Linked DNA regions of Rattus norvegicus. The main gene of each other region encodes a partner of the protein of the gene in region 2 in a complex. Links are inferred from orthologs where the notes say so. Each region holds a gene or a part of one and is shown on either strand. Other genes may lie near its edges.

What was found.
Region 1: Fnip1 (region 2) and Lamtor3 share a complex: the UniProt entries of both Homo sapiens proteins name them as parts of the lysosomal folliculin complex. The link is inferred for Rattus norvegicus from reciprocal best matches to the Homo sapiens genes FNIP1 and LAMTOR3.
Region 3: Fnip1 (region 2) and Lamtor4 share a complex: the UniProt entries of both Homo sapiens proteins name them as parts of the lysosomal folliculin complex. The link is inferred for Rattus norvegicus from reciprocal best matches to the Homo sapiens genes FNIP1 and LAMTOR4.

Annotation. Positions count from the first base shown.
Region 1 is NC_086020.1:229,083,022-229,088,324, reverse strand, and holds the start of Lamtor3 (ragulator complex protein LAMTOR3), read right to left. Parts: upstream 3,436-5,303; 5' UTR 3,355-3,435; exon of another isoform or gene 3,326-3,354; intron 3,138-3,325; 5' UTR 3,101-3,137; coding exon 3,092-3,100; intron 2,027-3,091; coding exon 1,992-2,026; intron 1-1,991. UniProt on the Homo sapiens protein: As part of the Ragulator complex it is involved in amino acid sensing and activation of mTORC1, a signaling complex promoting cell growth in response to growth factors, energy levels, and amino acids.
Region 2 is NC_086028.1:39,133,667-39,138,312, reverse strand, and holds part of Fnip1 (folliculin-interacting protein 1), read right to left. Parts: intron 4,479-4,646; coding exon 4,309-4,478; intron 2,946-4,308; coding exon 1,529-2,945; intron 577-1,528; coding exon 408-576; intron 1-407. UniProt on the Homo sapiens protein: Binding partner of the GTPase-activating protein FLCN: involved in the cellular response to amino acid availability by regulating the non-canonical mTORC1 signaling cascade controlling the MiT/TFE factors TFEB and TFE3.
Region 3 is NC_086030.1:22,370,330-22,375,703, reverse strand, and holds the start of Lamtor4 (ragulator complex protein LAMTOR4), read right to left. Parts: upstream 3,436-5,374; 5' UTR 3,367-3,435; coding exon 3,364-3,366; intron 2,925-3,363; coding exon 2,844-2,924; intron 357-2,843; coding exon 239-356; intron 1-238. UniProt on the Homo sapiens protein: As part of the Ragulator complex it is involved in amino acid sensing and activation of mTORC1, a signaling complex promoting cell growth in response to growth factors, energy levels, and amino acids.

The DNA of each region.
Region 1 (5,303 bases), on a different chromosome or scaffold from region 2:
TCAGATATTTTTATTTATTATATGTGTGGGGTGGTTCTATACGTCAACCATGCATGCCATAGCATCCATATCAGCCTTTAACCACAGAGCTATCTAACGGTCCTGTTGTTGGTCTCATGAAGCCCAGGCTGGCTTTGAACTTCTTTCAATTCCGAATGCTGGAATTACGTGCCCAGCTCACTTTTGCAATGTTTTTTAATGTTTTGGAATGCTATGCCAGTTATCATGCTTATGTGATGGTTAGGTTTTGGTCAAGTTGATGACACAAGGTGGAGTCATCTGGGAAGAGAGAACCTCAATTCAGAGCATGCCTCCTCCATGAGACTGGCCTGCAGGTAAGTCTGCAGGGCATTTTCTTGATTATGATTGATGAAGGAGGTCCCAGGCCCCTGGGGTAGAACCACCCAAGGCAGGTGGTGTTGAGTTGTATAAAAAAAACACACTGAGCAGGCCATGTGGAGGCAGCCAGCAGGCAGCATTCCTCCGTGGCTTCTGCTTCAGATCCTGCCCTGTCCTTCCGCGATAAACTGTAATCTGTAAGATTCAATACTCTTTCTCCTCATGTTGCTTTCCGTCAGTGTTTTATCATGGCTTTAGAGAGCACACGAGGGCAGCCTGCAGTCCCCCAAGCATTAGTAATCAATAACGAGAAAAGTTTTAATGTTTTGAAATGTTATAAGGTCAGAAAAACAAGTATTATTTCCCCCACTAGTTACTAACCCTCTCCTGCATGGTTTTAGCCTGTACCACTGTTTCTATTGCCATTCATTAGTTAGCATGCAAAGCTGTCACTGCCTGTCATGTTGGCCATTTGTGTGAAAACAGAACCAGCAGCTGGTCTCTATAATTTGCCATTTTATTATGAGAAAAAGAATTAAAATTAAATTTAATTACATTAATTTAAATTAATTAAAGATTTCATTAACATAAAATCGATAATTATCACTGTCTCACTTAACATGCCAATGGTGTTTTCTATATACACCATATAGATCACAACCAGAACACACTTATTAATTTCCACTGATCTACAATCAAAGCAAAAGCCATACATCCAACAATTCAAGCAACTTGAAACCAGTGTTAATTTTTTCAACCTACAGAGGTAAACTGATATCTGCACACAAGCGCTTATAACTTTAGACTCGGAAGATTAGACAAAATAATATAAATAACTTTTATATTATTCCACAAATAGAAAAATATTCATAGAATATTCTGCTTGATGACCTCAAAGGTTGTTCAATCCAATCTGCTGCTTTGTTCTGGAATGTGAAAACAAAGACTCGGGCATTCTTCCCTACCTTCCTTGCTCATCCTTAATGATTACGAGTTCTGAGTTATTTGTAGAAAGATGTGGATGTAGACAAAAGACGTGCTTGTCAACAAAGACATCGTTTTTTTTTTTTTTTGTTTTTTGTTTTCACATTAAACTAAGAATGAGCTTCAATGAGTTCAAGTGAGAAAGTCCTTTGGATCAGTAAAATACGTAAAAGCAATCTGCTAACGTTACCACCTGTTAAGGCCTTTGTAAGAACGGCACCTAAAAACAGGTAGGGAACTGTTTTCTGAGCCAACTATTTTTGGATTATGTTGACCAGCAATTAGGTCCCAATAGTAAAATAGACTTGAAAATAATGGCAAGTCTTAAGCTTTTTTTCTTAAATTTACTTAAGAACTTTAAAAAATAATCTAATAAACACCAATGATAGTGTGTTTAAAAATAATTCAAAGTGGCAAGAAATCTAAGTTCTGTCCCTAGTACCTATCTGCTGTTGAACCATACACAAGTCATTTAACAGCCTGGGCTTCGAGTTATCTATCTAGAAACTAGTCATTACTTACGATACTTGGGGTTAGTTTGTATTAAAACGTGGCAAATAATTACCATGACAATTATAAAATATTAATTTAAAAAGGAGAAACAAAACACTTTGTAAGATTAACATGTTGCGCAGAATTTATTCAGCAACAAATTAGTAATTTCTTACCTTGGCAACTTTTTGTATAGGAATCGCTTTAGATCCTGAAAGAGAATAATTTTTTAAAGATCATATTACTGTGTGCTTTTCTAGCCCTGTCCATACCCCAAAGGACATGAGGTCATCATTTGTAACTGGCATTTCATCTTTTACTTGTATAACTTGGGAGAAGTTAATTAACCTTTTTCCAGGCCTCAGATCCATTGTATGTTTCCTTACATGTATACAGGGATAATCAAATTTCATAAGGTATATATGTTGGTGTACTTGGAATTGGGAAACACAAATACATTATTTACTATAAAATGAGACCATGTGTTTCTTAATAATTTACATCCTGATGCTACTGTGTCCCCTTAGGAATAGTCTATAAATCTCTTCCTATGTCCGTACTGATCTTCCACGATTGTTTTTAATGATCCTAATTCAGATAAACTACTTTAATATCCAGTTTCTTGACAAAGATAATGACAATGTGGAGATTTATCAGAGAACGTGGTAAGGACTAAGAGAACAGAAAGCCACCTTCTCTCATTATACATGCATCTAGAAATATTCCTGGCCAACAAGCATAACTATGACCTCCAGTCTAAATGTGTCCTGTTTTGAACCTTTATCTACAAACCTAAATGAGTATCCTCTCCCATGTTACCACCATGAACTTTTGCTCTCGTCTTAAACAGACACACAGAAACGGAATACAGGTTGCGAAAGGGGCACCCTTTAGAAATCCTTTTAGATTGCAATGCTGAGTCTAATGAGACACTAAGCATTTATTTGGTAGGAAAGTATTCAGAGCACTGTCCTCTGGATCAGGTACTGACTGGAAGGGCAGTCAGTCATCCTTTAGAATTTCCGAAGTTACCCACACAGAGTTCATGTATGCTCCAATAGGATTAGGAGGTGGGAAGAGTACAGTTCTCTCGGGTTAAGAGTGCCCCACCACAACCGTTCCTGATAGAAACTAAGGTCCCTGCAAGTCCTTACTACGGATCCGGATCCGGGAAGAGGGGAGAGGCTAAGGACGGAACAAAATTCTAGCTTCCTCTCAGAAGCCTCATGCAAACCTCCCACATCCCCATTTTTCTTGGGAAGGGGTGTCAACTCACATCCGCCATGATGAACCCCTTTCTCTCGCAGAATCAGTCTCCACTCCTGGAAGGAAAACTTCCGTGACTCCCCCCGCACCTGGGGGTTATTCACCCTCCCCAGCCCCAGCCAGCATCACGAGGTCCACCCTCGCCAGGGCCAAGCGAGAGTTCTGGATCTCCGTCAAGGGGGTGGGGAGGTCCCCAGGACCCTGCCCGGTGGCCAGCCCGGACGGCCCACCTCTCCCCACCCACCCTGTCCCGGAGCTGAGAGAAGGGGCGACCTCTGCAGACGCAACGCGCGCTCCACCTGCCCCGGTGTTCCCGCAGTTCAGTCGCTTCTCTGAAGCTGCCTGTCAAGTCGCTGTCACATTACTCGTGACCTCCGTGGCGATCCAGGAAGCACTTGCTGCACCCTCCAGTACTGGTGATTCGGAACTTCCGGGGAGACCCAGCGGAAACTGCGCGCGCGGCAGCTCCGCCCCCCCCCGCCCCTTCGGAGTTTTCCTGCGCCTGCGCGCTGCGCCCTGCACCCGAAGCCGCTAATCAAGCGTCTGAGGTCCCTGCGCCTTAATTTCTACTGAACACACCTACAAAGGAAGACGGTCCTGTGCGGAGTATGCATACACCTTTCCCAGACCCATTATGTAAATCTTTTTGTGAATGAAGACCTTTGAGAAGCACGAACTGAAAAGCCTACTTAGAAGGCCCAGATCCCTAGATGACCCAACCTACAAGTCAGTTTCCTGAGGGTGCTACCCTACATGCTCTTTTCTTACAGTTTTTACCTAGAAGTGCAGGAGCCATGGACCTATGGGCTCGTTTGTCAAGTCTGTTTTGAACATGCATGCACTGGGCTGCCTGCTTTGGCTCTAGGACCTGCTTTTGTTGTAGCTTTGTAAAAAACTGTCTATATCTTTTGTTGATGTTTGTACATTCAAGAAAGCCTACTGTAAGGGGAAGGCAAGAATGCTTAGCAAAAGGAAGGCTTCTCCACTTGCTTTGGCCTGGTGTTTCCCACCACTGACACTTTGTGACACCACGAACATTCTTTGTGGTAGAGGGCGGCACAGTAGTCCGCTTAGGAGACTCCTGTAGAAAACCCCCAGGACAAACGAAAATCATCTGGGATCTAAATATTCCCCAGTGGCTGCGTGAGCTCGGGGGGGGGGGGGGATTGAAGATGGTGGTTTTGCTGCAGATTAGCTCTTACCTTGTGTGTACCATTAAAGAAAATGTCAGCTGTATGGGAGCCCATACTTGGGAATTCCTCTACTAAATCATTACACAAGTTTCTTTTCATTCCCATAAAGTTTTAACACTTTTATTCTTTGAGAATTTCATGAAATATATTTTGATCATATTTACCCCTGCCCTAACTCCTCCCAGGTTCACCCCCATATTTGTACCCTCCAAACTTTGGGTTCACCCCCATAACCCATCCCAATAACCCATCAAGTCCAGTTTGTGCTGATCATCTAACTACTCCTGGGCCTGTGGGACTATCCAATAGGTCATGGTCAACCTACCAGGGGCCACCCTTAAAGAACACTGACAGTCCCTCTCTCAGAAGCCGTCAATTGTCCACAGCTCCTCATTATAGGTAGGCCCATGAACCATTCCCACTACATGCTAGAATATTGGCTGCCTTGATCTCGTACAGGCCAGCTCAGCCGTGTGAGTCAGCGTGTTTTCGATAACATCGATTGTCCCACACTGCATGAAGTTGTCCTCTAGTGTCTCAGCCCCACTCTTATTTCATCCTTTGGATTTTAGCTTAAGTTTAGTTTCTCCGTGAAGTCTTCCTAGATGTTTCCAGAATAGTGAAGGTACTCTAGATAACTGTTAATAGATAAATAGATAAATGTTAATAAATAGATAAGTATTAATAGGTAAATGTTAAAGATAGATATCAATAGATAAATGGGTAGTTTGTGATCCTCTCATGTTTATCAAAATTAAAACATTCATTTCCTGGACAATAATGTTCTCTTGATTAAATTTACCCTTGGTCTTAATTCGTGAATAATTCCCAGCTCCTAGTTCATTACTGGGGACACAGGAGGGATTCATACATTTTTTTGAATGAATGAATGAATGAATGAGCATTTCAAGAGGATAATATGCTGGGCATGGTGGTGCATGCCTTGGGAGGCAGATGCAGGCTGATCTCTGAGTTGGAGGCTATCCTGGTCTACATAGTGAGTTCCAGGATAGTGAGAGCTACATAGTG
Region 2 (4,646 bases):
AAAAATTTTTTTTTCCATGTGGAGAGGTTTAATGAGAGAAGAGTAGAAGAAAGGTGGCCGGCCATGAGTACGTGGTGGGAGTGGGGAAGGGGGCAAGAACAGAGGAGAACAAAGAGTAAGAGAGAAGTAAGAGGGGAGCGGAAACCTCAAATTTTTGATAGTATGAGTATCTAAAATATTTTTTATATTTCAAATTTCCATTTGGGAGATTCCTAGATTTAATTCTTGTTTGCACAATGATAAATACAAAGACATAGATGCTATATATGAAGTGACAATTCAGAGAATAATAACTATCTTATATGATCACAGCTTGGCTAAAACTAAAATACCAGGCAGGATCTGGGTTGTAACAGAATAGTAACAGTTTGCTTTAAATATACTCAGGTTTTTTGAAGATATCTCACCTGCACAGCATGGGACAAATCTGATGCCAGGCACTGACGGAGCCTCTCATCACTCCCAATTCCTTGAAGAACAAAGTCAGGAACATAAGATGAGCAGTAGCCACCCAGCAAGGATCTTCCAAAGTTGGCAATGTTGGGCTGAACAGCACTCACTTCAATCAACTTTGACCTAGAAGAAAGATGACCAAAGGAAGGAAAGAAAGAAAGAAAGAAATATACTAAGTAATAAACATCTTTTACCAGTGGCGAAAGATGGGGTGGGGAAGGTTATAAATCTACTAATCTGTCTTTCCAGTACCCTTGCTATTTATACACCATATAAGGAATAAAGTTAGCCTTATATAAAAAAGTGGCCCAAGGTCTAAAACAAACAACAAAATACTGTTCTCTCTTGGAGGAGGTCTCAAGAACAGCATGACTCGTCTATACTTAGAAGGCCGTACCTTACAAATATTTGAAACATGTTCCTAATACAATCGGACTATGAAAACCAGTGTGTAAAGCAAAGAAAGTAGCTAAAAATCTGGCTCTGTACGATATCAAATATCAAATATCAAAGCAGTGATATTTTCCTTGCATACTTGACCTTAAATATACATTCCCTCTTTGTGCTGGCTAAATTTATTTATTCCCTACTACCTGAAAGATTCCCCCTAAGTGTCAGGCTTGTCATAGGTCACTTTGGGAATGTGTATGTACATAATTCACTCCAAAATGGTTTGAAAACTAAGAAAAGACCAACTTCCTACATTTCACTTCTTTATTGTCTCTGATGCCTCCACAGGGGATCATACGGAGAATAATCTTGAATTCTCATTCTGAGTAAAAGAATTTGACCAGTAAAACAACATTAAAAATTATCTTATTAATCATTACTTTGGGTATAATTGCATGAAGTCAGTGTGCAACCCTTGGGAGTCAACTCTCTCCTTCTGAAGCGGTGGATTTCAGGACTCAAACCTAGATTATCTGGCCCATACGGCAGGTGCTTTTTACTGCAGAGCCATCTTGGAGCCGTAACCTCTTTAAAGTTAGATGCTCCCAATCTCTGGAGACTGGCTAAACCAAAGAATATTACACGCTTCTGCAGGGTCTGGTTCAGGAGAAAACTTTCTACTCACCCAGGGAAAGGTATCTCATCCTCTTCTGCCCAATCTTCCTGATCCCCTCCACAGTAACTGCCAACTTGTCTTCTTATGTCAGGACCTGTGTCTTCACTCTCACTATCTCCAAGGGCACTATCTGAACTTTCATTTCTTGGAATGTCCCATTCAGTTCCTACAGCAATTTTTTTGTCTGAACTCTCTTTATCCCCATGGGGGACAAGAATAGAGAGGGCATCTCTCTGGTCCTGCTGAGGAAAGCAGGCATTACACGAATCTTGATGAACTGTTTCTATACATTTACAAAGTTCATTTTGCTGTTTGTTATCTTTTGTATACAATCTTTTTGGATACTCCAACATACAGCAATACTCTTTACTATCTGTACTTGTTTTAACTGGAACATCATCAATAGTCCTGGTTTCAATCGAATCATCATTAAAATATTCATCAAAGAGGCTCATGCTTTCTGGATCTGAATGACTCCAACAAGGAAGCTCACAGGACTCTCCAGAAACCATGTTATGTGTGCCAGAGCCTCCAGATTGGTCCTTAGTGATTTTATTTTCTTGATGCTTCTCAGTCACTCCTCTGTCTTCCTTCAGTGGTTTGCTATGATGTCTGTTAATCTGATCCACCACAGCCTGACTCCGAAGTTCAGTATCTGAATCAGGTGACATAGAATCTCCAATCAAGAAAGTAACCTTTGTCTGAGTTAACTCACAGGAAAATGCACTGGGCACAGTCTTATCTGGAGGTTTCTTTTCTACAACTATCCCTGTAGGTCTCATCGCTGTGCCTGTTTGATTATCTGAATCCAGCAATTCCTTACTCTGCCAGGATTCTTCTGTTGGCTCCAAGCCTGTCTCTGACAACACACATTTGTCTGCTGGAGCAGACCCTGTACAAACAATTGTCTCTAACTTGGTGTCAAGACGAGCTCTTAATTTATCTCTGTACCGCTGAACATCAGTAGCATTTTCTTCTTGGCAGTCAGGAGGAGGAATCTTTTGGCATTCATCTGAAATTCCCAGCAATTCCTTAGAGTTGTCTTGAATATCTTCTCTCTCTAGTTGAGACACATTCTCTGTATTTTGCCCAAGGAGTGGATGGCTGCAATATTTACAGTTACAGTTGGAAGTTCCTGTCTCTTCTGACTCTTTAAAGAGCAAGCTGCTTTTGTTCCTATGCACTGTGATCAGCACATACTCAGATTCCTCTACTTCCCCCTTTTCTAAAGTGGTAGTAATCACTGTGCCTGGCATAACAATGGCTTCGTCTTCTCCATTTTCTAAAAGATGGGTTTCTTGAAGTTCAGAGCATCTGATAAAGTAAGTAAGAAAATAAAGCAGTCTCTGGACCAGGTCTTGTCGTTTGCCAACTACTACAGTTCTTGCTAACCGTACTGGAGACCCAATAGCGCCATACAAATCTCCTGCAATGAAAAGGATAAGAAACACAGCTAAACAGTCTTTCGATCTTGAGAAATCTCCTCATACACGTTCATAATTTACTCTCAAGTACTTTACAAGATGGCTGATTATTCAGGAAAGTAGGATGAGTGGTTTTACTCAGGGAGAAAGGTGAAGAGAGGGGTTTTTTTAGCTGTGTTTCTAAACAGCTGGTGTGGTTTTAAAACCTCAAAGAGCTAGTTTTCAAAGTCAAACTTAAAAATAAGAAAATTCTCTACACTAAGTGTCACACAAAGGAACTTTATCTAGGTGAAGTCTGTTATAAAGGAGGCCATAGTCAAATGTAGAAAGGAAAAAACACAGTAACTGCTACAGGAAGAGGAGAGGGACAGTGGTGGCATAGAGTGCAGCAGGAGTTGTGTTTTTGTATTTTTTTTTTATGGGTCAAATTAAACCTTTAACTCAAATGCAAAACAAAAACTTATAAATGAAAACAAATACATCAATATAAAGCCCTTTTACAAATTTTCAATATACTTATTTAAAAACCTTTACTTTCATGTTATAAAACAGCCATATTTTTGAAAGAATGAACATAAATCTTGAGTGAATATATGCTGCAGACAGAATTGTGATACATTTTTTCATCTGGCTAATAAACTGGCTAGAATATGACAACATCATTCTAACATAATCCTCCCAATTCTCACTAAACATCCAATGAACTGAAACGGCTTTGGCCTGGTGAGTCTGTCATGGTAGGTTCCACCTGACTCTCCCCACATCATCTCCTTAAACTTTCCTTGTGTGGCTGTTTTCTAAAGTCCTCACCTAAACTTCAATGCACACTAGCTTAATACTCTAATGGTCAGAATCCCTAACTGCACGGTGCTCATCTTCCTTATCTCTGCTATTGTCAAGTTTCTCGGCCAGGTGTACCCAACAGTGCAAAGACTGACTCCCCCTCCTAGGCTACCACTCATCTTTCATTTCACATAACTTATCAATTTGCATTTCCATTATTGTAAAAAATACATGCTGCCTATAGTATTATGACTGTAAATCTTTTGAAACAATGATAAAATTATTCATCCATCTTTATATCCTCTTATATACTCTTTGCACAACCCTTAGATACAGAATTTGAAGTTGATTTCATATATCAAAGTTAACGTAGCTGTAGTGCACTCCTTCTACTCCACCCACAGTTCTTTAGCTGTAAGGAATGTGAGCAGGCAGAAGACAACAGGACAATTTAGCAGACAAGAAGGGGCAAGTATCAGAGACACTCTAGAATAAAACTGACAAAAAGACTGTATTTAGTTAGTTTTTGCTTAAAAATGAGTTTTAAGTTTATACACAGTATATGATGTTCAGACTACATACCAAGTTGTGCCCAAAGAGGGTTATATGGATGAGTCTTTGCCAACATGCCCACACTCTGAGAGGAATGTTTTTCTAAAAATATTTTTATAGGTGGCTGTCCATTTGGCATGACTGTTGGAACCCAGGCAAGATGATTGGTCAAAACTGCAGTAATGAGAGCTGGCAAGAATCTGAAAACAAAATGTCTCCTATTACTTTCCAATCCGCACTCCTGAACGCTAAATAAAATGTTTGCTACAGTAAACAATGAGAATGCCTATTTTAAGGTTACTGAATGGCAGTTATTAAAAAGAAGAGGTGAGAAGTAAAGACAGGTACACCAACCAGGAAAAGAACCC
Region 3 (5,374 bases), on a different chromosome or scaffold from region 2:
CACAACAAAATTGGCTGGGATGGGACAAAGCAATTATGTAGATCACAGAGGTCAGGCAGCTGTGCAAACCTCTTCTCGTTCTTACTGCTCCGTACTCGTCCTAGAGGAACCTATATGAAGGCAGTAGTTGAACCAGGAACCCCAGGAGGAACTGGGAGTCAGTGGAATGGAGCCAGGAATTCCTTCCCTGAGCAGAGAGGTCTCTAGAAGCAACCACCCAACAAAGGCAGGAGCTCACCAGACAGGCGCTTGAAAGGGATGTTCGTGCCATGGTGCAGCCGGAAGCCACAGGCTGTGCTGACCAGTTCTGAGATGGCGCTGGCTGCCTGCTCATCGTTCTCAAGATCCCCAGATGACTGCATGTGGGTGAAGGGGGGCAGGAACAAAAGAAAGAGGCCAGAGTTGGGAACAAATTCAAGGCACAGGACCTCTGTTTCCTATACTTGTTATGGTCTCCCTTGTCTGTAGTCCCAAATCACCCAGCTTCAGAAAAATCCTACCTAAAACCCCTTTATGATGGTGCTGCCTTCCCTTGTGCCATTTTGTTTCTCATTCTGAGACACCAGGCTTCTTTTGCAACTCTACTGATAGCCATGCAGAAAATCAAAACCTAGGGTGTGATTACCAAGTGATCTATCACACCCCCAGCCCCTCACTGGGGGATTCTAGGCAGGGGCTGTACCACTGAGCCACGCCCTCAGCCCCTCACTGGGGGATTCTAGGCAGGGGCTGTACCACTGAGCCACACCCCCAGCCCCTCACTGGGGGATTCTAGGCAGGGGCTCTCCCACTGAGCCACGCCCCCAGCCCCTCACTGGGGGATTCTAGGCAGGGGCTGTACCACTGAGCCACACCCCCAGCCCCTCACTGGGGGGATTCTAGGCAGGGGCTCTACCACTGAGCCACGCCCCCAGCCCCTCACTGGGGGACTCCTGGGCAAGTGTTCTACTACTGACCCATGCCTTCAGCCCCTCACAGAGGATTCTAGGAAGATGTTCTACCACTAAGCTAACTGCTCAATCTTTGAAGGTTCCACTTGTCCCCAGTCTTCCCACTTGTCCTTGTCTGAAGGCTATGAACCAGAAACACCTACTTTGTCTTTGAAGCTTTCCCTCTGGCTACTTCTAGGGTCAATGAGAAGACAGTAGTCCAGACTTCTCTGGACAAACTGCTTCTACTCCCTCTTCCCACTGATTCTAAATGGGCCCTTTACTAGATTTAGTTCCTTTTGCTCTCAGTTTCTCCATCTGTATATTGGACCCATATTCTGTGCTTGTGGAAGTTTCATGAGAAAACAATGAGAATATTATAACAGTGCCTACATAATAAATGTACTATAACTGCTATCAGTCCATCTCACTCATCTCAGACCTCACTCATCTCCTGTCTATAGTCAGGCCATCAAAATTCCCTTTAGCTACCTCCTTGGTCAGCTTCCTTTTTTACTTTCTTATTTGTTCAGGTACCACAGTACTTTTCTGGTTTTCCCTGCTCAGAGTCCTACAGGATGAGTACATCAGAAAGGTAAGGTACATGCAGAAGTACTTTACCTAGTTATTACCAACATATATTAATACCTCTAAGATGTGATCTCTGGGCTGTGGCAATGGCTCAGTGGATAAGAGCGCTTGCTGTACAAGCAAGAGGACCTGAGTTCAAATCCCCTACCCTACATGGCCATGCTCACACCTGGAATCCCAGTACTGTGGGTGTACAGGCAGGTTGATTGCTAAGGCTTGCTCAGTGTTGCCAGTCTAGCTCCAGGTTCAGTATGAGACCCTGCCTCAAGGAATAAGGCAGAGAAGGGTAAGAGGAGGTCTCTAATGTCCTACACTGGTCTTAGCATATGCATGGGCACACACATGTGCAGACACTAAAAAAATAGATACAATGTCTATAGCCCTTACTTCTCATTGCTACCCGGCCAGTCTCTTAGATGGCTCTCCTGGGACAGTCATGCTACACCATTTCTGTGAGTCACATTTATGTTTTCAAAACCCTTTAAGTAACCCTCAAGATTTGTCCAAAGATATTGAAGCTAGCCATAGGAAGTTCAGTATCAGAGTCTTACCACAGCATCCTTCCTCTTCAAACTGTTTCAACACAAGACCACAACCAGGCGCTGTTACACTCAGGCAAGTATGTCCAGCTCCCAGCCCTGAGAATTCTCTTCCTCGTTCACAACCTTCTGTCTTAGCAGCTCAGCTCAATCCTTGCCTCTAGAGAAGTCTTGCCCCCGCCCCCCAAAATTCTAGGGGCAGGTGAAATGGCTCAGAGCATAAAAGTGCTTGCCTAAGGACCGGATTTCAATCCTCAGGACCCGCATGGCAGGAGGAGAACTCACTCCCAAAGGTTGTCCTCGGCTTTTTTAAAGATATCCCAAATAAAAACATACTACAAGTAACTAACTAATTGAATGACTTTGGTAAAGTTTGGTTTTTGTTTTTTGAGGCTGAGTTACATGTGGTCCAGACTGTGATTTGACTTGATACATAGCCAAAGATGAACCTGAATTTCTAATCTGCCGGTTTCCACCTTCCAAGTGCTGGGGCTACAGATCACGTGCCTCTGTGTTTGGTTTTGTGCAGTATTGGGAATTGAACTGAAGGCTTTGTACGTGCTAAGTAACTCACTCTCCTGACTGAGCTATAACCCCAACCTTTTGGAAATAAGCATTTATACCATATATCCAAACATTAAATATGGCAAGCAGGGAACCACAGAGAGGACAAAAGTAGACAACTGAGAGAAAGCGGGAAATATTTGAAGGGATTTCTGGGTTGTGTGTCCCCAAAGGACCCCGTCACCGCCACCACCCCATGCCTCGCTTTCCCACAACGCACCGCTAGCACTGCACCTTCGCTCAGCACCAGGTAGCCAAGCTGGTCTGGGATTCGTTCCAGCCCTTGGGTCAGTGCGGAAGTCTAGTGGGTAAAGAGGCAAGAGGTGAGAACCATGACAGCCTTGTAAACCCATCTCCCTCCTGGATATAAGCCTTTCAGACCCTCTAAATGGCTTGTAACACTGAGTCTCCATCCATGGTCACTATTGGACGCCTGAGCTCTTCCACTTGTCAGGCAGGTGACCCAGGAGACCTTCCTAGCTTCACAGCCCCTTCTCATTCCAGTGCCCTTATGCCCCGCCCCTTGTGCCATCAAAACTACTCCCGGCCGCAAAACACCCGGTAGCGGAGCCTTCCTTCTCCAGCCCTCCCGGTCGCCTCCCTTCCATCTCTGTTTCCTTTCGGTCCCAGGGTGGACTGGGGGTGACAGCGGAGTGCAAGCCATAAGGGGGTAACCGAAGTTTGGGGAACAGGGACGCGCAACCCTAGGCGCACAAGCCCGCGCATGCGTCCTCACTCACCATGGCAGCCGTAGGTGCAGGGGGAGCTGTCTACCGGATAGGTAGCTTCCGGCTCCAGGCTCCGGTCAGGTGGTTCACCAGCTGACTCTAGCCCAGCCCTTCGCTTGCGCATTGGATGGTGCGTACGTCATCAGACTTTATCAACCACTGCGGAGCGCCGCTTTCCGGACACATTCGTGGATTGGTTGCATTTCCTCGCCACTCAGGATTCGCCTGCGAGATTATCTGAAGAGTTATTGAGCGAGGGGCGGGGCACCTCTCCACCTCCTCACGAACGTGCGCGTGCGCCTAGGCTTCCAAGGAGAAAGTAATGCAGTCTAGTGTTGTAAAGAGCTTTCCCCGTTAGGTGTCACGGTTCAACCTGAAAAGAGAAGTTAATGTGAATGACGATGGTTTACACATGAAAAACTGTTCACGTGTTAATTTTCTGCCTTAGTATACGACCCAAATATGAATGGGTAAATCAAATTTGGTGTATATATGCACACTGTAGTATATTATCAATACAAGGGAAAAACGTCCTGACACCAAGAGCAACTTGAGAATCTCGAAAGCAAGTTAAAGCAAGCCAGAAGAATAGCTTCAGAGACAACTCAGCCTTTAGAGGCTCAGAATCAACCAGAAGGACTGGCTTGAAAGGGCAGTCACATAAGACCACATATTATGTGGTTCCATCTATGTAAGATGCTTAGCTGTGACTGACGCTGAATACTTGTAATACTGGTATAAATCCTGGGAAGCCAAGGAAGGGGGTTTCAAGTTCAGGCCAGATTGGACTGAATAGTGAGTTCAGTGCCAGCCTGAGCTACCTACCAGGAGCCTAACTAAAACACATACACTTCTGGCAAATCCAGAAAAACGTGAAAGCAGTTAGTGGTCGGTAGTGAGGCAAGAGAAAATAGGAAGTGCCTATTAAGGGGGGGGGGGGAGTGGCACGTGTGATTTAAACTTTTTGGGATTCGTATTGAAGTCTGCCTATCTTTGTGACTGTGACATAGGTTGTACACTTTGAATTAAAATGTTTCAAGATCTGTGAATTATATAACCCTCCCCCCCCCCCCCCTTATTTTCAGTGCCGAGAAGCAAAGTAAGGGCCTTGCGCATGCTGGGTAAGAGCTCTCCATCTGGTCTGTATCCCCAGCACTAATCATAGCTCAAGAAAGAAAGTCCTCCACCCCAAATCGTCTTGGTTTAGGAGAAGCAGCTAATTAGAGAAAATGCATGTCTTTAAAAATGAGGCATGGGTCTGAGTTTGAACACTTGCCCAGCATGCCCAGGCCCGGAATTCAACATGGCAACAATTTTGAAGTAGGGCCAGCAAAGAGGCTCAGCAGGCAAAGGTGCTTGCCGCCAAGCCTAATAACCTGAGTTTGATCACTGAGTCCCACATTGTTAAAGGAAACAACCAACCCCACAAATAGTTCTCAAACCTACACTTGTGAGCTACGGTACACATGGACACACACACACACACACACACACACACACACACACACACACATTAAAAATAGATATAAAAAGCCAAGAAGTGGTGGTACATAGCTTTAATCTTGTCTTTTGGGAGGCAGAGGCAGGCAGATCTCTTGAGTTCAAGGCCGGCCTGGTCTACAGAGTGAGTTCCAGGACAGCCAGGGCTACACAGAGGAAACCCTGTACTGAAAAACCAAAACCATAAAAATGAAAATATAAAAAAGTATAATTACAATATACAATTTAAACTTAAGTGGCTGTGGTGATGCATACCTATAATCCCAAAGCTGGGAGGGAAGTGGAAGGAACTTGAGTTAGAGGCTATTTTAAGCTAACTAGTGGGGTGGTCTTGAAAGAAATTTTAAATTGGCAGAGACTGTGAAGAGAAAGCTGTTCAAAGATGCTAAACATTCAGGCCCTCCCAGGCCTTAGATACCCATGATGCTGAGGAATCACATGGTTTTGTTTTGTTTGTTTTGTCTTGTTTGAGGCAGAACTTCATCTAACTTAGGCTGACCTTGAGTTCCTGGCGCTCCTGTTT